Arabidopsis thaliana: one gene and its partners. The protein of the gene in region 3 purifies or fractionates together with the protein of the main gene of each other region. This does not show direct contact. Each region holds a gene or a part of one and is shown on either strand. Other genes may lie near its edges.

Region 1 (7,861 bases), on a different chromosome or scaffold from region 3:
TTGAGCATTGAGCTCAATATAAGGAATACCAAGACGAACAAACCTCGTAAACAAACTCTGATCCATGTGACTATATTTCTGGAAAGCCATATTCTTCACCACGGGAGGCAGCTGGTGGTGATCACCAATCAATATACAGCGCTTGAGTCGTGCATGACCATCTTCTTGCCTCTGAAGCAGCATTGGTATGAAAGTCTCAATTTCCAAAATCTGAGCACTTTCTTCCATCAATAAGTTATCATATTTGAACCCTAACTGAAGAAAATCTCTCCTCTTTAATGCAGCATGAGTACACGTCATTGCTACAATCTTTGCTTGTTTGGTCATCAGATAATTTGCTCTATCAGCAGTTGACTTGAGTAGTTCAAAGGCCCTACACTCTTCTAGCTCTTGGAACACAGTCTTGAGATGAGAGAAACAACCTTTAGCTGCCCTCATGTCTTTCTCAAATGACTCCCCATTAAAAACAGGTTTAGGGGTGTCTGAGAAGAAATCTTTGAACGGGAAGCGATCTCGCACAAAAGATTGATTGTCTTCATTTCCTGCACAAGCTGCGAGAAACAGCTCCCAACGCGAGTATACATGAAGCAACCAGAAATATCCAGCTGTTTCACAAGTATATCCTACATCCTCTGGAAGCTGAAGAGATCTTGCTAGTCTCTCAACCTCACTGAGGAGTTCCAGACGCCGAACAAGCATGGCATTGACACGGCCTTGTCTGCTAAAGTCAAGATCAGTGGCAAGCTCTTGTTCACCTTGACCCAAACGAAGTAGATACCGCGCTGGTACATCCCTCTGAAAAAAGATCCATGTAGCATTTGACTCTCAGAACTCCGTCAAACATAAAACATTAAATATGACTCCATATAAATAACAAAAGCAACGAAGATGCCAATAGTACCTCCATTATCTTCTCAAAAAGATCATTCAAAGCCTGATTTGAATGAGTGATTATCAATGTCCTCTGAGAAGGACAGTTGTGGTATAGAACATTCAAAATTTGCACTGCTGTATCAGTCTTTCCGGTACCTGGTGGACCAACCACCATAGTTAGCCCAGGCTGAATACCAGAGATAATTGCTCCAACCTGCAGGAAAATAGTAGGCATGGACATGGTTTAGTTACAACTTGCAACAATGATCCATATTTTGAATCCATACCAAATGTTTTGGTATATTTTCTCATTCTCATCCAAACCACCATGAGGGAGAAAGTGATTTGAACATTAGGTAAAACTTTCTTCAAATAAAACAGAATGATGTGGGAACAGTATTGACCACTCAAATCGATCAATGACCAAATGATTTACGTTACGATGGAAATAACAGGTGCAAAATTTTACATGGGTTATAAGTGTCAGGTACCCAACACAATAAGGCGACATAAAGATGATGAATAGTATTCTCGTATGACATAACTCTTCTGTAAAAGTAGGAAGGATTCTAAGATAATAAATTTGTCATCTTCCAAAACAAATAGCAAGAATGACGAAAAGTTGACAAGTATAGCACAGCACAATTATATAAAAACCAAATCAGCATACTGCACTTAGGATGTAGAAATAAGTAGTACCTGTGTAGGTGTAAATTTAACTGAGTTCTGCTTCGGCTGGTCCTGAGGATAAGGCCCTGGGTCAGGTGGGGTATATGCCTCAACAATAAGTTTCTCCTTCGGGGAAGCATCCACCATATTAACATTATCTGCTGGATTCACTTCAGATATCTTGTTTCCAGAAATAGCACCATTTCCTTTTAGTGTCTTTGGAAGAGTGATTCGAAACGGAGGACTTGGATCCAGAGCTTCAGCACCTTCAGCATTGATGAAAGAAACCTAATATGCACAAATTATTAGAGACATGGAAAGGAACTAGTTCTAGTCTTCTAGATCACATCATATACAAAAGAATATAGGTACTAACCTCATAATCTGAAAAACTTTCACTGAGATGATTTGCATTAAGGAAAGTGTCTTTGAAGTCCACTATTTCCAACAGGTTTGGCATATTAGGCCACTGTGCAGCAGAAGGGTTGCCATACCCAAGAAAAACATTATGCAACCACTCCGGCACAATACAATATTCGTTCATAAGATCTCTGATAGATTCCAGAATAGCCTTGAAGTTGTTCTCTTTTGGTTTCCTCCTCATTAGCACATTAAATGTGCCATACACATCCTCAGCACCTTTTTCAGCGATGTCTGTAACATCTATATGATACTGTGCAGCATCTAAAGCGACAGTCACAGTCCTCATTTCACCTTTTGGGGGCTTCCATTCATCCCGTTTAACTCTTCCAGTAAAATCATTCATCAGATTACCCTCCTCATCGCGGATATCGATGATTTCACAACCACGAACATACTGAAGCCCGAGCCTCTGTGGAACTGTAGCTTTATCAGCTTCCTCAGGACCTAATGGCTCAAATGAAGGGCGTATACAAAGCAAAAACAACACGTCATGCTCTTTAAGGGAATTCCATTCAGATCTTATCTGCGTTCTGTAACTCTTGATACTGAAAGTAACTTCTGCTGTCACAGATGAAGGCTTCTCTTCTCCAATATTAGGCTGTTTCACCTGAGCGATTTTGAAATCATTAATAGGAACCGCCATTCGTGACCAACCACGAAAAGCAGTGTCTCCCTCGTTATTTATATGTGCAAGAAGATGTGGTACAGCTTCTTGTATATCTTCACGAATCTCATAGGTGGATTCTAGACGGAAGAGGTTGAAGTTTCTAAGGAGATAATCATGGAGTGTTAGAAACTGAAGATTAAGCTTTGGAAGAGCAAGGCAACCTTCCCCAGAATAATTAATGCTTGGAATAACACTTTCGTCCCACATGATTTGCTCATTTGGGTACAAAGGCAGAGCGTTTATTGCTTCTTTCTGAGACTGTTGCTTCTCAAAAGAGGAGACAACGACTTCAGTCAGAAAATCTTTACTATCTGCCCAAGGATCATGTCTTGAAACCAGTTTGAGCTGCACAAAAGCAAATGAAAATGAGAACCAATGTAGGTGGCAAGGTGTATAATTGTTGTACGTGAACTTCTAAGGCAACAAAAGTATATTTTAACGAAAACTAAAATTAGCAACAGCAAGAGGCAAATACAGTTTACATATCTCCTTTCTACTCTCCACAGGCACAAATACATCTCTTCACTGATTTCTCACACTACTCTGCGTACTACTGTAATGGCCTAAAGGGAATTCAAACAAGTAGATACATAACGTCTACATTTGTGTCAACCCATAGATCTTTTAGCATGTCAACTTAGACTTTGTATTCTGATTTTGCTAAGCATTTTGCCAATAATATTCACTGAAAGCTCACAACTATAAGAGCCTTAGCATAATGAAACTGGCAGAAAAGATATGATCATCATAGAATTGCCTCAGCAATATTCCATAATCATATCCTGAATTCCCATGCAGAGTTTGTGAACCTACAAGAATATGCTTTCCAGATATATACCTTTGAGCAGACAACATCCCTTAAATCTTCAAGAGAAAGCACAGACAATCTCCTCCGAAGATCAGAACTCTTGTGAATCGAACCAATGTTAGCCAAAGACAGATCTTGCAACTGAAGCAAACCAGATAAAAACAAATGTGAGAATCTAGAGAAGCGTTTGCCAAAAAATATTAGAAAATAAGGAAGAGAGTAGATCAATGACTTCAAAATCCAATAGTAACATAACAAAAATACCTAGTACACAAAACTACCTATCTATTAATTAACCATGATTACCAGGACAATACCTTAGGTATTTTCTTAAAGGCAAGTAGCTGAAACGCCATAAAACGATCGTAATGAAATTGAAGTGCTTCATCATCAGTTAATTGTGTTCCATCATGATCCTTTATCTCAAACTTTTCGTAGAACTGTAACAAGTCAACTAGTTGGGCGAAAAGCTTCCCTTTTTCATGTTTGTATAGGGCACTCAGTCGACATTTGGCAACAACTGCTATATCCGCCACAAGAGGTCTTAGGTATCTGTAATAATCAAGATGAAGAGATGGAGAAAGGAAAAATTAAGGTCCAGTAAATGAATGGCTCAGAAATGGACAGTGTAGAATGAGGAAGCGTAACAAGACTAAGACCTAGATATTATTAGGAACAAAAAAAAACCCTAGATATTTTAGTCTACAAAAAACTTGCATAGAGGCCCTGGAGGGAAATATTAATACCTTCTTGTTGGAAGTTGGTTCAGCATGTCAATAAGAAATTCCATGAATCTCTCACAATATAAGACAGAAGAATCATCGACCAATTGAGATCCAGCAGTATCATCAACCTCATCCGCAAAAACCCCATGATCAAGCACCTGAACAGAATGTTATGAATTATGCGTAACTATGCGAAAGATATATTTGACGAACATAGACCACTACAACCCAATAAAAACAGGCTATATACCTCAACGAATTCTTCTATTAGGCCTCGAACAAAATTTGCTTCAGGGGATGAGGATAAATCAAATTTCTCTCCCTTTGACTTTGCCTCAGCTGCCCATTTCTTTGATGACCTCTTCCACTTTTTAATTAGATCAGGTTGAAGGCAGAGCTCCATCTACAGTTGTAAAAATCAATGACGATATCAGAGCAACTACAAAATATTTTCACCATCCTTAACAAAATCCATGTGAAGGAAACACCCACCTGGAAACGTCCATAAGACAAGCTGTGCCAAGATTGTAATCCTGCTAGACTTAGAACAATCTCATTAACCACTGCGTCTTCCAAACTCTGTAACATCACACAGTTAAGAATATTGAAGAAAAACAAAATAGCACAAGGATATAATTTGTGTACAAACATGAATAATAAGGTTTTCCACGTGAAACAAACAATTTACTGAGTAGCACACAGCTATATTGTCTGCAATTACTGCTTACTATATCATGTATTAATTTTCTGATCTGAAACAGGCGCAACAGCATTCTAAATACTTACGACCTATTCAAAAGTTACATGCAAGAAACGGAACAAACCTGGAAAGCATTAATCATGAAGACCAAATAGTTTGTCTTCTCAGCAATAGTCAAGTCTCTTCCCTACAATGGTAAGCAAATGATATATAAATATACGATTGGTTTAGCAATGGCTAATTATGATTTATCACTATGCCTCCAAATATATAGCGAAGTCAATTCCAGGCATAAGACAATGTTATAAATCACAGGTACAAACCAAATTATCACAAACAGGAACAACACTAGAATCACAAAAACTAAAACAACAGGTAGAATACAAACCTCTTTAAGGCGAAGAACCTTCTGTAGAAACTTTTTGAATAGATCATCCCGATCATGAAAGCAAATCCAAGCTGCCACATTCTCCCGGAACTACAAAGCATGTAGCAATGTTAAACTCCACTGTTTACAGCTCCAACAGTCCAATACGAAAGAGAGCAAGATTAGTTACCTTCTCGTTAATCATAAGAATCATAGACATAACATGCTCGAACGTAGCAGTCTCAGGATCAAAATTCGGCCATAGATAGTTCTCCAAATACTGACTCACTTCCAGAATCATAACTCGCTGAAGTGGAACAGGTTTACGACCACTAGTTACCTTAAGCTCCGTCACATAAATCTCCTTCACAACCTCCGGATCGAACGGTTTCTCAGGGAGCTTACCTCCAGTCTTAATCCAGCTCTCCTCAGCGATTTTCGTTAACCTATCTTGCTGAATCTCCGATAAAGTGATGGAGCTCGGCAAATTAGATCCAGGCTTTGACTCTAGAGGCTTCTCAGCAGGATGGCTAGGTAACTCCAATGGATACTCCGCCACTCTGTGGCGCTTGAAGTCGTACGTGCCAGTTCCATAGACCTTCGTCATTCTCTCACGCGAAAGCTTCTTGCTCAGAGAGAAGTGAAATCAACACATACAGCAAACGAAGAGGTTCAGAGAAGGGATTTAGAGTGAAGAAGAGTAAGATTTTTAGGGCTTAAGCGGAGGTGAGAGTTTCATCGACGACGTCAAAGATAAAAGGCGGTTACGACCGACTCGACCCGACCCGAGTGATGCTAGTTTAATTACAGCTGGACTTGGGCCGATATTGGGCTAGAAGTATTTTAGTCTGGACTGGAACTAGAAATAATCTTAAGAGTAAAATTAATATAAATAAATAATGGTGAGCAAAAGCCAAGTAAACCGAATCGAACCAAAACTGAATTTCTTATGATTAAAAAACATTAAACAGTAATTTGTACCAAATAAACCAAACTAAAACCAAATTTATGCAATCGGATAACATAAAACTTTACATTCTTTTAAATTAGTATTTTGATTTAAAATAAAACAACTTAAATATGAGTGTGCATAAAAAAAAATTGAACTGAGCCAAAATAAACGAATTCGAATCATAATTGATCAATCTAAACCGAATATAAACCGAATAAAACGAACTGTTTATGCGCTCTAGTGACCAAGACCAATGATGAAATGGATGGGTGGTGATGTTGCATCCACGAGTCCACAAGTCTGTGAAAACATTGCACTCCAAAAATGGCTAACCAGCTCTTCTCTCCACCAAACCATGGCTTCTTTCAACCACTCTTGGCTCTCTTCTCCACTCACCGAAACTCCCGCTTTCTTTTTTTCTCCATCTCAACACCCAAAATCCTTGAAACTCTCACTTTTCCGAACTCGGAGCAACTCGTCCTCACCGGACCGCTCGTCAGAGGTTGAGCTCGATGTGGATCCGGTGAAGCTCGCATTGAAGAAAGCCGAAGCTTATAAGAAATCGAAATCAGAGCAAAAAAAACCAGAGAAAAATGCCGGCGACGAGGAATTGCCGCTCTCTGTTAAGGCTGCTATGCAAAAAGCCAATGATTATAAGAAAAGGAAAGGACTTGGAACTGATGCTGTCGCAAAAGCTAAACCCAGTTCAGTAAAAAATCATCTTTTGCACAAAATTCTTGTAACTGTCTTTGCTTGAGTTTGTAGATCAATGCACTTTTCTAATAGTCTTTAGTACATCATTCATGTGTTTTTCGTGGCCTGTTCCTTGAAAAGATTGGTTTTTGATTAGATTTAGGAGTAAAGCCTTGATTTTTAGCTGTATTAATGGAGAATTGTTCTCATGGGTTTCAGGTAATACAGATCAAAGTTTCGTTAGATTAGCAAATAAGGTTGTTGAAGATAATGATGTTAAGAAGAAAGAATTGAAAGTCTCCAGCATTGATTTCATGGGGCTTGGCTTTGCTGATAAGAAGAGCACGAGGGGGCTTCCAGCGGGACTTGTTCCTGTTGTTGACTATCTTCCTGAAGGAGACTTACCTGAGGTGGAGTTTATTGTTGGTGATAAAACAAGATTTGCGGAGAAAGTAAAGGAGGTTGAGCAAGAAGGAGATGGAAACTCTGATGTGTATAAACCCAAAGTTTCTACATGGGGAGTTTTCCCAAGACCTAGCAACATCTCTAAGACGGTATGTGACTGGCCCATCTAAAGATATGTGTTATGCAACTGGATTAGTTTTTTTCATAAACCCCCAAGAGGGAAGAAGTTGCATGTCCAATGTTGTTAAGTTAGGGTATATAGAGCCACTTACTCCAGATTATTAGAGGTAGGAGTGCCAGAAAGGTTTCATGGGTTTATTATTTAGTTCGCATACCATTTAGTCTACTGTGAAATATGATGCATCAAAAATGATTTGTTGGTTGTATTTTCCACATTTTGGATTGTTGGCTATAACCATCAGCTCTTAACTTCGATGGTTTTGGAGTGTATATTTTCCTGCTGGCATCTATGGTCTCAAGTAATGAGGATTGAGATATATACTTTTCTTGTTTAAGTTTGGTGGTGGAAGGACACTCCGACCGGGGGATTCAGTTGAGACCGCTGAAGAGAGGATTGTG
Region 2 (5,765 bases), on a different chromosome or scaffold from region 3:
CTATATAGTATAGACCAAGCATGTTGTTATGTTAGGTTAATCTGGCAATGCAATCTCTATTCAAAAACCGATCACAGAGGTAGCTCGTGATTTTATTATTGGAGTGATATTAGCTCCGAGAAAACTTCTGGTTATTGTTATGGCTCTCATGGTTGTCTGTTTGTTGTATGTTTTTCTGTGTTCCTATTATCGTTTTACTTGTATTGATGAAGCTTTGTATGGTTTGGTATAACGCAGGCTGCAAAAGAGTTCGAGTCTGAGCTTAAGACAGAACCCGAAGAGTCTGTTGCAGAATCATCTCAGGTAGCAACGAGTAACAAAGAAGAGGAGAAAAAAACTGAGGTTTCTTCAAGCTCAAAGGAGAATGTATGAAGATGAGAGACTTCAGTGTTTGCTTTTCCTTGTAGCTACAACAATTTTATGTCATGAAGAGTTTAGATCAAATATTATTGTCTGGAGGAAACAAAATAGCCTTCCAATGAAAAGTATAAATTAATTTGTGTTTGATGAATCTAGAAGGCTCTTTCGAGTAGAAGAAGCAAAGAACTTGCACAAACAAATTAACTCTAGTTAAGACCAAAGACCAAAGAAATACAGAGAACTCTTATGTAAACAAAGTGTCGAATTATAAAACAAAACAGAATACAAAATTTTTCTCTAAGTTTCACGTTTCTGGGTATTACAATGAAGTTTGGTTCCAGAATCACTAAGCACAAGACTAATTGTCTACGACTCGCTTGTTCACTGATTAAGCTTCTGTCTCTTGATCCTCTCAAGTGCACCCAATTTCTGGGCAGCACCGTCTTCTCCAGCTTCTTCGCCGTCTTCGTCTCTCTTTCTAGCAAGTCCTCCAAAAACAGCGGCAGGGACTTCTTTCTGAGAGATCTCCACATGGTCATCTCCATCAGACTCATCATCACTTTCATCGGGAAGCTCGATGTCTTCTCCATTCCCTGTCACTGGTTTCCCCTCATTCTCACCGGACTGTGAGATGACTCCTGCGCTTACAAACCCAACTCTTCTCCCGCCATCTTTTGCTGGCTCTGTGGGGGTAGTTGTAGACAAAAGCTGCCTCTCCAGAGCCGCCATTTCGTCTTCAGGTAAACCGGCTCTCTTCAGCTCGCCTTTTGCGTCTTCCACATCAAGCAGCTTGTCCTTTTGCATCATGTTCTCTGGTAGAATGAAATGAGTCTGAAACAAAAAAGATCAATATAGTCAGATTTCGACTCCAAAAACAAATGACAAAAAATTGAAAGAAGAGAAACTGATGCAGACCTGACTATAGCTTGCGGAAACACTTCGCTTGATACGGAGCATTTCTCTGTAGGTATCTTCGTTCCCGTGCTGGACCTCGAACTCATGCCATTTGTTCCAGAATTCAGGGTCGGACCTTGGATCTGCAAACTGGGAGGAATACTTATAGAGTGCACGAGCACGATCAATCTCTCCCAAGCTTCTCTCCAGCTCAGCAAATTTTATGCACATGATCTTCACATCCTTATGTGGAAGCCCAGATTCAATTGCTTGTTCATATATTTCCCTTGTTCTGGGAACACCAAATATCTCCGCTGCTCGGGAAATGTATATCTCGTACATCTCAAGCTTCTGACCTTCTGGAACTTTTTTGGTGGCTTCCTCATAAACCTTCATGGCTCGTTTAGCCAGACCATAATCCTCTTCTAGCTTAGCATACTGAAGGTATAACGTCCTGACAGCATCAGATGGGGCCTGCAAGAGAGACAAAAAACAAGTTAGATCACATTTCAATATTATCACATCAATAAACAAGTTCTCTAAGCCACTGGCCAATTAGTCAACTTCGGTGCTAGTTTCATCGGATCTGTAATCAGACAGCACAAAAGTATGGGTAAAAGGACAGATGAGCTTACCATTGAAACAGCATGCTCAAACAACTCTCTTGCCCGCTCCAGCTTTGTCTTCCCGTATCTCTTGACAAACTTTGTAAGATAGGTTACCCAAATGTCTTTCACATGAGGATACTTGAATATCTTGACACCTCTTTCATACACCTTGAACGCATCTTCAAAGTACTTATTTTCCTCAAGAAGAAAAGCATAATTCATTATAATTTGAGGTGTAGCTATTCTCAAATCCAATATTTTCTCATAGACAGCTCTTGTCGATTCTAACGTCCCCAGACTTTCTTCCAGATCAACATAAAAGGACCAAAGCCTCAAGGATCTATGCAGCTTCATCTGGACTGGTTCATTGCCATCAGCAGCAACTCTCCGTCTGACTTCTACTGTCGGTACAGCTGTAGCACGCCTCATCAGCTCTAATGCTCCTTTGAAATTCTTGTGTCTCAGCTCCATCTCAGCCCACTCACACCACACACTGGCGAGATGATCTACGGTTTTGTAGTTTACCTGGACTGCTTTGTCAAAAATCACTCTAGTATTGACCAGGTCTTTGTGGTTTTCATACAACTTGGCAAAAGCAACCCACAAGGTGTGAGGCTTCCCAACTGCTTTCATAGGATCAACAGTCCTCACTGCTTCTGTGTATGTGAGAATCTGCTTTGCTGCGTTTCCCTCAAATATTTTGACTCTACGATGCCATTGCTCAACATTGTGAGGATTCTGCCTAAGGAGCACACTGTTTGCCAGTGCAGGTCTTCTGTTCATCAGTTCTTCCAAACGAGCCAATCTCAGATCAACATCATTATCATCATTCAACCAAAACCCATTCAGTATCTTCCTCTGCAACTCTTTCACCGACAGATTAAAATTAAGGCGAACATCCTCTTCATCATCCTCTACGCCATTCTCTTCATTCTCATCTTCTTCATCACTTGAACTCATCATCTCCATCTTCTTCGCGACCGTACTCTCCTCGAACCGTGAATAAACGTCAAATATCACACTAAAATCCCTTACAGTTACTACCTTCATCATACCCTCCTCATAAATATCCCTAGCTTTCTCCAACAAATTCTTCCTAATGTAATAATCCGCAAGAGAAGTCCACAGCATTCCAACTTCATCCGTAAACTTCCTAATACCTCCTCTTATAATAGCATCAACATTAAGACCCGAAATCACATTAGCATGATGCACAAGAAGCTCACACAACTCCAACCACAGTTTATGCTTAGTCTTCCCTTTAATAGAATAAAACTTATCATCATTCAACACAGAAGCTAATCTCTCTGCAGATTCTTGCCAACGCTCAGACTTGACAAGAAACTCAATAAACTCCTCAATATGACTAGGATCATACATAAGATACCTTCTATAAACCCTAAGTGAAGTCTCAATAGGAATCCCATTTTGACTCACAAACACAAGATACGGTTCCCAAATCCTATCATGTTGAGTAACAGGTAAAGCACAAAGCGCACGGTCGAAAGTTCGCCGAGTCCGAGTAATCAATTGCTGAACCGTAAGAGTCTGAAGATACATAACCCAAATCCTAGGCATCTTATGCATAGTAACAAGACCTCTCTCAAAAGTATTGTTGAGAGAATCGTACTGTGGATGAGTAACAGGCAAATTCCTAACGATATCGAGTCGTTCTCTAAGATAAGCGTACCACAGTTTATAGCTTCCAGGAAGTGCTTTTAAAGCTCTCTCGTAGATGATGAAGCGTTTCTTAAAAGGAGATTCAGCTTTTGCGATTAGGTATCTCCACCATAGCTTTAAGCTGAATTGGTTTCGAAGAAGCTCTTCCTCATAGAGTAGATCCTCTTGAGAAGGATAGAGATCTTTGGAAATCGCCATATAGTTTAGATCTAGAATGGAGAAACGAAAAGGATTAGGGATTTGAGAGCTTGTTTAAGCGAATCTGAAGGGAGTGGAGAAGGATTTGATTAGAATGAGAAGCTTTACCTGTGAGAATGTGAGGGACTAATCGCCGGCGATATGGTGAAGAACGGCGAAGAAGACGGTGAAGGGTTTGTTTCTCCGGCGTGAACGTTTTTTTAGGGTTGGGGAAAAGAGAAGACACGATAGTGATTTGATTTGAGGTAAGTGTTGTTATAAGTTTATTTATATTATAATATTACGAAATTACCCTCTCTGATAGAGATTGGTGAGTGTAAGAAGAATTGAGAAGAAAAGAGAAAATTAGTTGTTTTTATTTGACTGGTGGTTAATAAGACTGATCGAGAAGAATTGTTAAACGTTTTAATTAGGTTATTATTTTAAATTTATAAATAAAATTCAAATTATTTTAAAAATTAAATTAAAATTATAGAATTATTATGTGTTTCAATTTTAAAGATTCCATTATTCAATTAAATATAAAAAAAATTTATGATAAATATAATATAAATTTTATCGACAACGTCGAGATCCATATCCTTTTACTGACCATATGTGTTCAGCAATTTGATCACGAACTATCCGCATATACATTTCTGCCTCTGATGATTCTTCAATTTCAATACCATCATTGTTATCTTGCTCATCTGTCGCATCATGTGGAGCTTGTACAACATTATTCTCAGAATCAACATTGTCAAAATCATAGTCTTTAATATTATGCTGACGAATAAAATTATGCAGATCCATTGTAGCGAATGTAACACTTCTTTTTGTAGTAATATCATATCTCGGAAATTCATTTAGGACCCTCCATTTTTTTTTCCATAAGCCGAACGTTCGTTCAATAACAGAACGTAATGACACATGCCACCTATTATACATTTCTTTACTGTTTCGAAGAGGTTCACCGTTAAAAAATTATTGGAGATGATATCTTGTGCCTCTCTATGTTCTCTTCGGTATGGAGCTAAATATCCACGTTTATTAGCATATCCAGAATCTACAAGATAATACTTACTATCTGGAGGTACATGAAATAGTGGATCATCACTTATCGCAGCCGAAAGGACACGTGCATCATGGGTAGATCCTGCCATCCCGACAAAACAATATGTGAAAAGCATGTCAAGATCGCATATAGCTAGAACATTGAAGCTTGCAATTCCCTTTCAGTTTATAAATCGAAGACCTTCTCGCCTTGGTGTCACCATAACAGGTACATGTGTTCCATCAAGTGCACCAATAAATCCATTAAAAATGGCCAATATCTTGTATCATCTTGCAAACGATTAGAGATAGCTCTAAGTTCTTCGACTTTTCTTGGGCGTATATACTCTACAGCCAATCGTTCCATTGCTTTAAGCACATCATGAAACTTTCGCCAAATTGTCTCTTGGGCATGTCCAAACCTTAATGCAATATCACGTTGTGTATCATTTGAGGCACAAATGATTAGAAAGATTGCAACACTCTCGTCGAGGCTTATGTTCGTCGAGCTTTGTAAACCATACTTCCCATGTAATATTTCACATAACTGTGTGAATGCCTCTGAACTCATTCGGATAAGTGTCTGACATGAAACTTCATTACTGTAAATTTGATCTCGAACAATTAGCCATCCTCTTCCCCCATATGATGTCATAGGTTGTTTGTAAAATCATCTCGTGTAATATTGCAACATACGAGCTATGCATTCTTCCATATTCGCTTCTTCTTCTAGTAACATTAACTCTGCAATCTCTTCGTCGTCAAGATTCTCGATTCCAAATGAACGCAACTCGACAATTCGTTCCTGATATTTCAAGTAAATTTGTATTAGACATTGATGAAAATATTTTAATGAACATATAAAATATACATGAGAGAAAAACTTAATTCTTATTTAAAATTTTTTAATACAAATAATCACTACTTCTTCCCATCTTTTTCACTTGGCCTATTAAAAAAGTTTATCATTTCCGGAGCATTAGCAGAACTAGA
Region 3 (5,034 bases):
CCATGTTGATCATACTGAGGTCTTCCAGCACGACCAAGCATCTGCATAACATCTAGAGGACTCAGCTCCATCCACGCCCCTTTTTCAGGATTATACACCTGGGTTCCTTTTATAATTACGGTATGTGCAGGCAGATTCACACCCCATGCGAGAGTTGCTGTGGAAACCAAGACTTGCACATGCCCCTGAGAAAAAAGAGTCTCAACAATCTCACGATCACCCCTTGATAACCCAGCATGATGAATTGCAAAACCGTAAGGCAGAATATCTTTTAGGTCACTATTCTTAACAATGTCTTCATGACTATGGAGAACGTCACGAGTTACACTATCTTCCTTCAAGAATCTGCTGAGGGTATCGTTCGCCATTGCAGTGTCCCTTATTGCTCTAGCAGTTTTTGATGTTTCCTTCCTTGAATGAACAAAAATAAGGACCTGGTGCTTTCCAGCACCAGCCAATACTTTCTGATAACAAAGATCATTCATCAACTGGAACCTCTGCAACGGTTTCTTCACACTGATTCCAATATACTGCTGATGGAGAGGCACGGGTCTGTAGCTGCGGTCAAATTTAAACAAACCTTTCTTAAGATCAACCCGCAAAAATAAGGCCACGTCTTCATAATTTGGCAATGTAGCAGATAAACCAACCAGACGAATATTCTCTTTCGTGGTTTCAATTTGCCTAAGAGTCCTAGCAACAATGCTTTCAAGCACAGGCCCTCGATTGTCATGAAGGAGATGAATTTCATCAATTATAAGAAGTCTCACAAGCTGAGTATAAGTTCGGTCTCCAGACTTCCTAGTGATGATATCCCATTTCTCTGGTGTTGTAACAATTATCTGAGTCTCTTCAATTTCTCTTCCGGTTAGGGACTGATCCCCACTGAGTTCTCTCACAATAACTCCATAATCCTTCAGACGATTAGACAAATTACCTACAACTTCAGCAACAAGGGCTTTCATGGGTGCAACATAGACAATTTTGTAATCTCCATGGTTATAAGTTCCATCTGTGTTCCTATTCATTTCAAGTTGCTGCAGTATGGTGAGCATAGCAACATTGGTTTTCCCAGCACCAGTTGGAGCACAAAGAAGAATATTCTCTGCCTTGAAAAGCGCAGTGTCATACACTTTGCTCTGAACCCTGTTCAACTGTTGCATTCCCTTAAAAGCCGGTTGCGCCCAATCAGGCATTTCCGTAATCTTCACTAGCTTCTCATTCCTATCAACCTTTTTAGAAACCCAAGGCACATGAACTTCATCATATCCCTTGCCATGACTTCTGTAAGAGCCAGGGGGGAGGTCACACTTCTTATTCGCCATCAGAAGACCACCTTGGTCAAAAGCCAAGCTCTCCAGGTCCAGCATCTGACGCTGACCCTTCACCCACCCACTCTCTGAATCTCTATCAGCAACATCTCTCCTGCCTCTGCCTCCATCTCCACCAGTTTCGTCCTTCAAACGCCGGGCTTCCTCGTTAATACTTTTTTGCAGGTTCTCCTCCCTCTCTTTCGCTGTTGCTCTTGTTGCATGCAACTGCTCCACAATTGCTGTCAACTCTGGGCCTAACCCCCTCATCTCCTCCTCGATTCTATTCCTCTCTTCCTGGTCTTCTGCCCTAGCCAAACGAGTGCACCACACAACTTTAAGACGGTTACGCAGCAGAAACTTGACAAGGCTAAATTTTTCGTACTGAAGGTGCATAAGCAGCTTGTCCTCAACAACCCTATCATCCCCTTCAGCGAGTATCTTTAGTAGCTCTTCTGCGAGTACCTGGCATTGTTGTGGATCAATCTGCTGTTCATACGCTTGAGAGATCTTTCTCTGGAGCCAATATGCATCAATGTCTTGAACATTAAGATTTGTGCCCTCATTGGCATCTCCTGCATCCTCATCATTTATCCCTGCATCAACCTGCATGCCTCCAGTTCTGGTAGGCTCATCATCCTCCTCATCATCATCCTCTTCAACCATATCAGGATCGCTTTCCTCATCATCTTCTTCATTCTCCTCAAATTCAACAGCCACGCCCAAATCATCATCAAGCCCTTCATCATCATTAGCTCTACCACCACCAGAATCACCACCCTCTTGGAAGTCCGTGATTAACTTTCCAATGGAAACAAGCTGATCAAACTCATGGTTTTCAATCTTGTTCAGCAACTTCTCAATCTCCATCTTTTTCTCAGGGTTTCTAAATGCGTCATTCTTGAGAACAGCCAAAATCTCATCCGCTGCACCACTAACAATACTCGGAGGTTGCCCACCCAACTGCTTCTGGATAAGACCAAGCATGGCTTCATAAGCAGCCCTCGTCTCCTTAGTCTTCGGCTGATAAACCGCATCATCAGTATCAGTCAGCACACTCTCTTCCCTTAGACGCCGCCTCTTACTCTGCCTAATATTTACCATATCATCTACAACATCACGTTCCTTCTTCTTAGACTTTTTCAGCTTATCCTCCAACTCCTGAGGCCTTCCCTTAGCAACACGGTCACCAAAAGACCTCGGATCGATTTTCCCCCACAGAGTTTCCGGTTCTCCTGTAGGCTCATGAGTATCCCGAGGTCTATTATCAGTAGTTAACACCAGACTAGAATTGGCTCTGTACTCATACTGCTTGAACCTGGCATGTGCTTCCGCACCGCCTCCCAAGTTCGCCATCTACCAATCCGAAAACCTAGAAACCAAATCAAACAGGAACAAAAAAAAATACACAATGTTAACCTCAAATCGAAGAAACGAACCAAAAGTGAAACGAAGAAGCTCCCAGAGATGATAAACCCTAATAAAACCACACCCAAATCGAGGAAACGGAGATTAAAAAAAACTTACAGAAACAGCTACGAAAATCTCTTCTTAGCTTCACTCTCTGCAACGAATCAATCCAGTAGAAGAAACCCTAGTAGGAGACTCAGATCTCTCCCTTCTCACGTCCTCTATCTCCTAATAATCGACCTAAATGACTAAAGGAGACACTCCTTCGTTTATTCGACTGCGAATTCTTTCTATAAGCTAGCGATACCGCCTTAAGGTGGAAAACTTTAACGATGCCGTTTTGAAACTATGGATCCAATAACGAAACCGACTCTGTACATGGATTGGGCTGGGCCTGTACATACTTCCTAAGCCCAACGTAATAAGACAATGGTCTCATGCTTTCTTTTGCGTTTGTTAATTTGAGAATGAATGCAAGTGTTTTTGTTTATTATAAGAATTAAAATTGTCAAAATATTAATACCTCAACATTAATAATCGCTGACAAATATAATGTGTGTGTAATAATGAACAAGGAATGGGAAAAACTTTAAATGGTGACAATGACATGGAGGCTGATTACTTTGAATGCAATCTTAGATTAGTAAAAGATGGCACATGTATATGAGACGAAGGTTCATGTGTTATCATGTGAAAACTGGGCAGTCCATAAAAATATCCAAAAAATTTATATATATGTCTTTGTTTATTTTTGTCAAATCTCTAAAGAGATCTATTGATCTTAGTGATAATATAGTTTTCAAACATGCAACACGTATAATTTATAGTTTTGTATTAAAAAGAGTTCTCATGTTATATATCGATATAACAAGAATCAACTACCATAACAACATGACAAAGTACAAGAAAAACTCACTCCATCATTAAAACTCTTGTTTGGAAAGAAAAAAACTCAACCGGTGACTAAATTTTTACTTTCTTTTACTCTTTAAGGAAATACAGAGAATGGTGACAAACAAACAAAACAGTAATTTAATACAGAAAATTGACTAATCACGCATCAGTCATCACATAAGTAGGCGTGTGAAATATTGAGACGTGGAAAATCAAAATGTCCCAAAAAGGCCATGTGTGGAAATCCACGTAACAAGAGCATCATATTCAATTATGTATTTTTGTTTAATATTCTAAAACAAAACTGTTTTTTTAAGAGTTTACCAAGATTAATTAATATCTAAAATTATGCTAAACCACTTCAATTTTTTTTGTTTTAAAGCGATGTTATTTTTGTTACTGCACATATACAACAAAACAAATTACGTATATATAAACAACTAAGAACTCTCGTCCGCCTAAATTCGGTTTAAACATCCATGTAAGCACCTATTGCGGATTAGAGGGAGCATCGATCATGTGACATAGTGTGGCTCCATTATCTTTAAAGTTTTGCCGGAGTTAATTATTTATGACAAAATTGGTGTACTTTATTCCAAGATTTAATAATATTTTTTATTATTTATTTGTTTTACTTAATAATACTTTTTATTCAAAAGTGTAAACACAAAGTAACAATGCCTATGCTGTTTTTTTTCCTATCAATTATTTAACCGCTGCATTTGATTAGTATATATGGAAGGAATATTTAACTACCGATTATCACTTACGGTTGTTAATGACAAATTTTTACAAGTAACAATTGATTTGAAAAAGGTCATTCAGAAAATCATCGCTAGTCTGCCACAAAATTCAAATGTGTTACAATGTATCATAGTTAACTACAAAATCCTTTATTATAACAATAATGGGTTGACCACTATAAATCCTTTATCTTGTTTTATACATTTCGGAGGCTAATTGACATTTTGGTCTGAATATATCCATGCATAATTAAAATTTCGAGTAATATTGTCTCAATATTCCTTCCATATATACTATGAATAAACTATTAGAGATTTTAACAAACCCTAGAAAGTCCAAAATACGTTTTTTGTGAAACATACGAAGAAAATAGATAACATATATGAATAATATGCGTAGAAATATTGACGAAAGTGACGAAATGTAACAGTTTTCGTATCATGTATACGTGAATTTCCATGTCAGGAACCGCTACTAGAATTGATAAGGTCAAAAGATGAAGCTCATCGTGACATTCCACCAACCGAAAGTACTCTCACCGCTTCACGCATGACCCAAATATATACAAAAGTAGAAAAAAAAAAGCACAAAAACAACGTGTAGAGGCGATAATCATAAAATTGAGTTCTTATACCTATACATTTGAAAAGCTTGATATAAAGAAAAATATGTATCA
Region 4 (6,520 bases), 6.1 Mb from region 3:
AGGTCAGTGAAAATTTTGAAAATAAGAGATAAAGATCGTACTAAGTCAAATGTATTTATTTTATGGAAATTTCGAGGGGAAAAAAAATGTTACGTGATGCTTAGTTAAATTCGGAAACTACAAATTTCATATCAAGATGGTTTCTCTCGATAAAAATTCGTTACAGTGATAGTTTTAGCATACCATGCTTCGAGTTGTCGTTTTCTATATATGTTGTTTTCCTTACAACCATAACCAAATAATGAACTGATCATACAAATGAAAAGATACTTTTATAGATCGGAATATATATCGACTTAGATAACGTAAATAAAGGTACACCAATGTGATTTATAGATTATATAGTCATCAACACCATATATGAAACTTTAACAAAAAAACACCATATATGAAACTACAATTTTTTACGAACATGGTCTTACCTTTATTTTATCTTTTTTTTTCGTATAAAGAATTCCCAAACTATGAAAAAATGTCAGCTAGGTGAATAATCTAACTTTCATGGACTATTACTCAGCTAAGTTCAAAATATCCCTTCACTTCAAAACTTCTAAAAACAACTTTCATTGACTATACGCATTAATTAATTACTATTGTAATTACGACGATTTTTTTTTCGTTCTCCTCTAGCTTTTTTTAGTTTATTTGTTTTGGTCATGGTTGGGAACGGGACATCATCACATCACTTATCAACATTCTATTTGGTCCCCAACTCTATGAAGCATTATTTGAAATCATTAGCATGACTATCTAAGTTTTTTTTCTCCTGATATTTATCCAAAATTTTATTTCATTCAAATTGTTTAACAATATGTACATATACTATATGTATTATATAAAATACATATCACCACTCAGGCAATTTTTTAAACTTATATACAGTATGTGATAAAATAAACATGGTCATACGTTTAAGAATTGGAAATTAATGAGGTTGCAAGAAATCATTTAACGAGAACAGAATGAAGAGAAAGAAAAAAATAGCAACTTGGTGGCAAAAGGAAAAAGAAACAGCTTGAGATCAAAGCTGATTTGATGAATCGATACTTTGGAGATATATATGAGCATCTTCGGCAAAAGCTTTGGCCTTTGAGTGCAGTGTTACACACACGCATTTTCCAAACGAGATGATTTAAGTTTTGCAGAGCTATCACAAATATATTATAATACCAAACTCTCAGACAATATTATATAAATCGGAAGTCTAATTTTTTTTAATAAAAAATGAAAATATAGTATGACCAATGATTTGTTCATATAAGGTTCTTTTTTCGGCTATGTTAATTGTTGAGAAATGAGAATACTAAATATGCTTTTTATGAGAATACTACTTTTCGGCTATGACTAATTTTTGTTCATAAAGAACACATCTATCGTACGTGCAAATAGAATGGCCCGTACATCGTTGTCCTACCTTATACTTTAAAAGAATTTGTAATCAGAAAAAATAAAAGAAAAGAATGACAAAAAAAAGGGTAAGAATTATACTTTCGAGTTTCTTTTCTCAGACAGAAAGAATGAACGAACATACATAGTTTAACTAATGGGCTTCAGAAAAAAGCCTAATTAGTTATAAATCAAGGTCTCGTTAAAAGGCCCATTTGTTTAACAAGAAATCTCTAACTTGTTGTCCTAAGCTTAAACAATTTTTGCATCTCTCTCTCTTTCCGTCTTCATCGTCCTCCCGGCTTCTGCGATTTTGTTTAGTAGCGCCGGACCGGAGTAGTTAAAACCCTAGCCCAGTCTATTTAAAGATTCACCGAGTAGTCTTCTAGTCCTGCGTATACTTCTTCTTCTTCGTTTATACTTAGAAGATGAATTGTGCAAGTAAGGCACTCTTTCTTCTCTATTTACCGATTTAGGGTTTTATTTTGCTTTGTTTCTGTCGGTAACACTGTGGTCTTTTCTCCTCTACAGTTTCCGGCGAAGTTCCGGAGGAGCCTGTGGTTTCTAAGAAGTCGGGTTTGCTTTACGAGAAGCGGCTAATCCAGACGCATATATCCGTAAGCAAGTTCTTTTCTTTTCTCCCTCGTTCGACTCTTATCTAGGGTTTTCAGCTGTTTAGCCTCTTGCACCTCTCTATTTGCTGCAGATATTTTCTTAATACAGACTTTGTTGTGATAATTTATAGATTGCTTTTGGTACCTTGTAGGATTATGGGAAATGCCCGGTTACTGGTGAGCCACATACTCTTGATGACATTGTTCCCATCAAAACTGGGAAGGTAATGCAACCACTGGAGTTATTTGTCACACAGCATTGTTTGTAGAAACTTATTTAAGCCTGATTCGATCTCCGGGACCATTTTGCAGATCGTAAAGCCGAAACCATTACACACAGCTAGCATCCCTGGATTGCTTGGAACGTTTCAGACTGTAAGTTCTTATTTTGTATTCCCTATACCTTCTTTTTCGTTTCTGAATTTTGTTCTCTGTCTATTAAGGATCATATAGAGTTAAAATGGATGAACTTGATTTGGGTATGCATCGCTATCTGAGTTATTTAACATAGCAGATTGCATTCTACTCTTTACATTGAATTATATGTTCATTTGTTACTAATAGCAAGACGAAAGTGTTCGCTGGTTATTTTTACTTTAGGCAAAAGAAATGCTTAAAAAGTTTATCTGTTTGTTGTGCTTGTAGGAATGGGACAGTTTGATGCTATCAAATTTTGCTTTGGAACAACAACTGCATACTGCGAGGCAAGAGCTAAGTCACGCTTTGTATCAGGTAATTATGGTTAGGTGCATTTGCCACCACCTTATCAGACTACATGAATTACAAATATCTATTATGTATTCTAGTTTCTTTTCCTGGATGTTTCCATTTATTTCTTGTGATAAAAGGTGATTGATGGGGGATACACTTTTCCTTTGCAGCATGATGCTGCTTGTCGTGTGATTGCTAGGCTTAAAAAAGAAAGAGACGAATCACGACAATTGCTTGCAGAGGCTGAAAGGCAGTTGCCTGCAGCCCCCGAAGTTGCCACATCGAATGCTGCTCTTAGTAATGGTAAACGAGGTATGCTTGCACGTTTGCTTCTCAATGTAAGTTGGCTATGTGGTAATTTCTCTTATAACAAGCTACTATGTTTTTGGTTGCAATATAGGTATCGATGATGGTGAGCAGGGGCCTAATGCAAAGAAAATGCGTCTTGGAATTTCGGCTGAAGTTATCACAGAACTCACAGATTGTAATGCTGCTCTTTCTCAGCAGCGTAAAAAGAGACAGGTAACTGCATATATCAGTATATTAGTGGAAATAGAAGGCAAAAGAGAATTACATATATATATAGTTTGTCTGTAACATACAATGGATATCTGCACTTTTGGAGTTCAATTAGATTTGCGAGTGGTTCTTCTGTCTTAATAATTTCTCCTCATTGGTTCTCTAGATCCCTAAAACATTGGCTTCAGTCGATGCTCTGGAGAAGTTCACCCAACTCTCAAGCCACCCCCTTCACAAGACCAACAAACCTGGAATTTTTTCAATGGACATCCTACATTCTAAGGTTTGACACCTAAGAACTTCTCTATTTTCCATTCATCACTTTATGTAGTTTTTCTCTGTCCTGAGAAGTCACTGCATTGAACGTCATAGTGACATGTTTACTTTTGCGCTTACATTATATTGTACACTGCCATGAATCCCCATCTGGATGCTTATCAATATTATTCTTCAGTATATAGATTTTGTACACTACCATGAATCCCTGTGTCTGTTCTCTATTTAGTATTATTCTTAATTTCTCGTTATATGTGGTAATCAGGATGTCATCGCTACGGGAGGAATTGATACAACTGCCGTTCTCTTTGATCGTCCTTCAGGACAAATCTTATCAACGCTGACTGGTCACTCAAAGAAGGTCTGTCTTTTACTGTATTCTTTTTTTATATTTCATTTTCTTTTTTAACTTTTCCTTTGTAGTTTTGTGCTTGACATGCATTGTTCCTTTTGCAGGTTACAAGCATCAAGTTCGTTGGTGACACTGATCTTGTGTTAACTGCTTCATCCGACAAGGTAAGCTAAGGTTATGTGTACAAGCTCCTTTGAGGATTGCATGATTTTATGGAGTAGTAGTGAAGAGATTAACTTCTCATTTCTTAACACTCTGCAGACAGTCCGCATCTGGGGATGTTCCGAGGATGGGAACTATACCTCTAGACATACACTGAAAGATCATTCTGCCGAGGTAAGGATGTAACTGAAGAACTTCTACAGGCTACAGTCTCATACAGTTTTACGTTTTATTTATTTTTGGTCTGTTTAACGTAAAAGCAATGATGTGGTTTTCAGGTGCGAGCTGTAACTGTCCACGCAACGAATAAATACTTTGTGTCAGCATCACTTGACAGTACATGGTGCTTCTATGATCTGTCCTCCGGTTTATGCCTTGCTCAGGTCTCCAAAATTTTAATCCACACCTGATACCTGTTATCCAGTTTCAGATTTCTTCTTTTATGCTAATATAACAATGAAACATTTACCTTCTTTATTGTAATGTGAATTAGACTCGTTAGAATAAATGTTTCTGCCATGCGTCTTTCTCATTATTGTTGTTATTCAGGTGACAGATGCTTCCGAAAACGACGTGAATTACACGGCTGCTGCTTTTCATCCTGATGGTCTCATTCTTGGAACTGGTACCGCTCAATCTATTGTTAAGATTTGGGATGTAAAAAGTCAGGTAAAAACTCTTTGACCTTCCTTGCTCATCAACTGTTGTCACTTGTAAGTTTGTTCTCACTTCACTCTCATCTCTATCTCTGTCGTTTGATAGGCAAATGTGGCAAAGTTTGGTGGACACAATGGAGAAATCACCTCTATATCATTCTCTGAAAACGGTTATTTCCTTGCGGTGGGTACATTGACTGATTGACCTAAACTAAGTAGAAAGAAGGATAGCACCAGGTTCCTTTTGACTGACCAATATTTACTATTCTTTAAATTGTACAGACTGCTGCACTGGATGGTGTTAGGTTGTGGGACTTGCGCAAGTTAAAGAACTTCCGAACCTTTGACTTTCCAGATGCAAACTCGGGTATTCAACTACCTGAGCACTCTTACTAGTCTATTTTGTTGAGTGAGTTTTCATTTCTTAAGGCCTGAATGAGCTTTTTTTGTGCAGTGGAGTTTGACCATAGCGGATCTTATCTTGGCATTGCTGCTTCAGATATAAGGTGAGGTCTACTTTGATACACAATGTTGGGAATTAATTGATATAGGAGCTCACTTTGATAACGAGATATTGAAAGATAGTTGTGCAAACTCAATTAACCTGCTATCACCAGAAATGCAGTTTGGGTATATGTATACGTTTCTTCTGCAAATCATACTAATCGAAAACTTGTGCTTCAATGTTGTAGAGTATTCCAAGCAGCTAGTGTAAAAGCAGAATGGAACCCAATCAAGACTCTTCCCGATCTGTCCGGTACAGGTAAATGCTACATGTTAAGCTTTTGAAGTCACTGCTCTTCCTTGTTTTATTGAGTCTATCATTCAGACATTGTAACTACATAAATGTGCAGGTAAAGCAACAAGTGTTAAGTTTGGACTCGACTCCAAATACATAGCAGTCGGTTCAATGGACCGTAATCTCAGGATATTTGGTTTACCTGATGATGACAATACTGAAGATTCAGCACAAGATTCATGAAGAGATATCTCAAAAGTCTCATCATCAAGAGTAGCTATATCCTCAATTCTCGCGATTTTTGTTGTATCTTTACAGTTCTGTTGGTACTTTCCTGATGGCCCCTCTCACAATCACATATACACACCTGAGCTCTCTCCCTTTCTTTCTCAGTCAACAATTTTCCTGTAACAACATCGTACCTTAAGGATCTGCAGTTGATCTTTCTCTCTTTGATCTGAAAGAGTCCACATAAAACAAAGTTAGCTGCTCACTATAAAAGCAAATGAAGAACAGGCATGTAAATGATCTTCTTCATCATTCAAATCAGTAGGACCTAAACGGCAACAATTAAAAAACTTGTGTTATATAGAAAGGGTCATGAATCTTGAAGACAATGAAATGAAGACAAAAAGATTGTGATGGTGGTCATAGAAATTAGAAAACCCTGAGACAGACAGAGATTTTGACTGTACTGTGGTCAAAACACACACTTCACAATCTTCCCATTCCCCCACCAATCTCAGATTCCTTTTCACTTCCTCCAACTCTTTCTCTCTCTCTGGCCTTTTTTTTTTTTTTTTTTCCTATTTATAGCTCATCTTTAGTAATTCCGTTATTGGTTAAATTTCCTAAACATGTTTTTGGTATCAACAATCAAGTAAGTGCAAGAAAGTTTGTATCTTTCTCTAAACCCAATTTCCAAAGTAACCAACTACTAAACCAGAATGTTACACAAAGTAAGTCACTAAATGACTTTAAAAACAAGATTAGACTTTAAACTAGATTAGAGACATACTTATTTGGAATAAGATTCAAAGGTCACTAGTAGCTAGTAGGTGGTAAAAAGGAAGCTAAACAACAAATAAACTCTTATTAAAATCTT

The links.
Region 1: the proteins of emb1507 (region 3) and EMB2765 purify together in Arabidopsis thaliana (affinity purification with mass spectrometry; 2 studies listed by BioGRID, with this or other methods). This does not show direct contact.
Region 2: the proteins of emb1507 (region 3) and AT5G28740 purify together in Arabidopsis thaliana (affinity purification with mass spectrometry; 2 studies listed by BioGRID, with this or other methods). This does not show direct contact.
Region 4: the proteins of emb1507 (region 3) and MAC3A purify together in Arabidopsis thaliana (affinity purification with mass spectrometry, with the first as the bait; one study listed by BioGRID). This does not show direct contact.

Annotation. Positions count from the first base shown.
Region 1 is NC_003071.7:16,204,415-16,212,275, forward strand, and holds the start of EMB2765 (P-loop containing nucleoside triphosphate hydrolases superfamily protein), read right to left. Parts: upstream 6,015-7,861; 5' UTR 5,840-6,014; coding exon 5,423-5,839; intron 5,344-5,422; coding exon 5,254-5,343; intron 5,053-5,253; coding exon 4,990-5,052; intron 4,745-4,989; coding exon 4,658-4,744; intron 4,569-4,657; coding exon 4,416-4,568; intron 4,324-4,415; coding exon 4,187-4,323; intron 3,993-4,186; coding exon 3,758-3,992; intron 3,582-3,757; coding exon 3,471-3,581; intron 2,978-3,470; coding exon 1,919-2,977; intron 1,831-1,918; coding exon 1,573-1,830; intron 1,088-1,572; coding exon 902-1,087; intron 796-901; coding exon 1-795. Other genes in the region: AT2G38780 (cytochrome C oxidase subunit), read left to right, coding at 6,438-6,888, 7,097-7,431, 7,799-7,861.
Region 2 is NC_003076.8:10,778,749-10,784,513, reverse strand, and holds AT5G28740 (Tetratricopeptide repeat (TPR)-like superfamily protein), read right to left. Parts: upstream 4,012-5,765; 5' UTR 3,849-4,011; intron 3,752-3,848; 5' UTR 3,741-3,751; coding exon 1,890-3,740; intron 1,729-1,889; coding exon 1,276-1,728; intron 1,192-1,275; coding exon 742-1,191; 3' UTR 518-741; downstream 1-517. Other genes in the region: AT5G28750 (Bacterial sec-independent translocation protein mttA/Hcf106), read left to right, coding at 238-372; AT5G28730 (nuclease), read right to left, coding at 4,296-4,505, 4,676-4,951, 5,026-5,387, 5,469-5,511.
Region 3 is NC_003070.9:7,307,249-7,312,282, forward strand, and holds the start of emb1507 (U5 small nuclear ribonucleoprotein helicase), read right to left. Parts: upstream 3,024-5,034; 5' UTR 2,838-3,023; intron 2,683-2,837; 5' UTR 2,667-2,682; coding exon 1-2,666. UniProt on the Arabidopsis thaliana protein: RNA helicase that plays an essential role in pre-mRNA splicing as component of the U5 snRNP and U4/U6-U5 tri-snRNP complexes. Involved in spliceosome assembly, activation and disassembly.
Region 4 is NC_003070.9:1,224,935-1,231,454, forward strand, and holds MAC3A (MOS4-associated complex 3A), read left to right. Parts: upstream 1-1,548; 5' UTR 1,549-1,814; coding exon 1,815-1,827; intron 1,828-1,917; coding exon 1,918-2,003; intron 2,004-2,152; coding exon 2,153-2,224; intron 2,225-2,312; coding exon 2,313-2,375; intron 2,376-2,645; coding exon 2,646-2,732; intron 2,733-2,881; coding exon 2,882-3,023; intron 3,024-3,111; coding exon 3,112-3,233; intron 3,234-3,396; coding exon 3,397-3,513; intron 3,514-3,771; coding exon 3,772-3,867; intron 3,868-3,962; coding exon 3,963-4,022; intron 4,023-4,119; coding exon 4,120-4,194; intron 4,195-4,298; coding exon 4,299-4,403; intron 4,404-4,569; coding exon 4,570-4,689; intron 4,690-4,782; coding exon 4,783-4,860; intron 4,861-4,958; coding exon 4,959-5,043; intron 5,044-5,130; coding exon 5,131-5,182; intron 5,183-5,368; coding exon 5,369-5,439; coding exon of another isoform or gene 5,440-5,445; intron 5,446-5,530; coding exon 5,531-5,658; 3' UTR 5,659-6,013; downstream 6,014-6,520.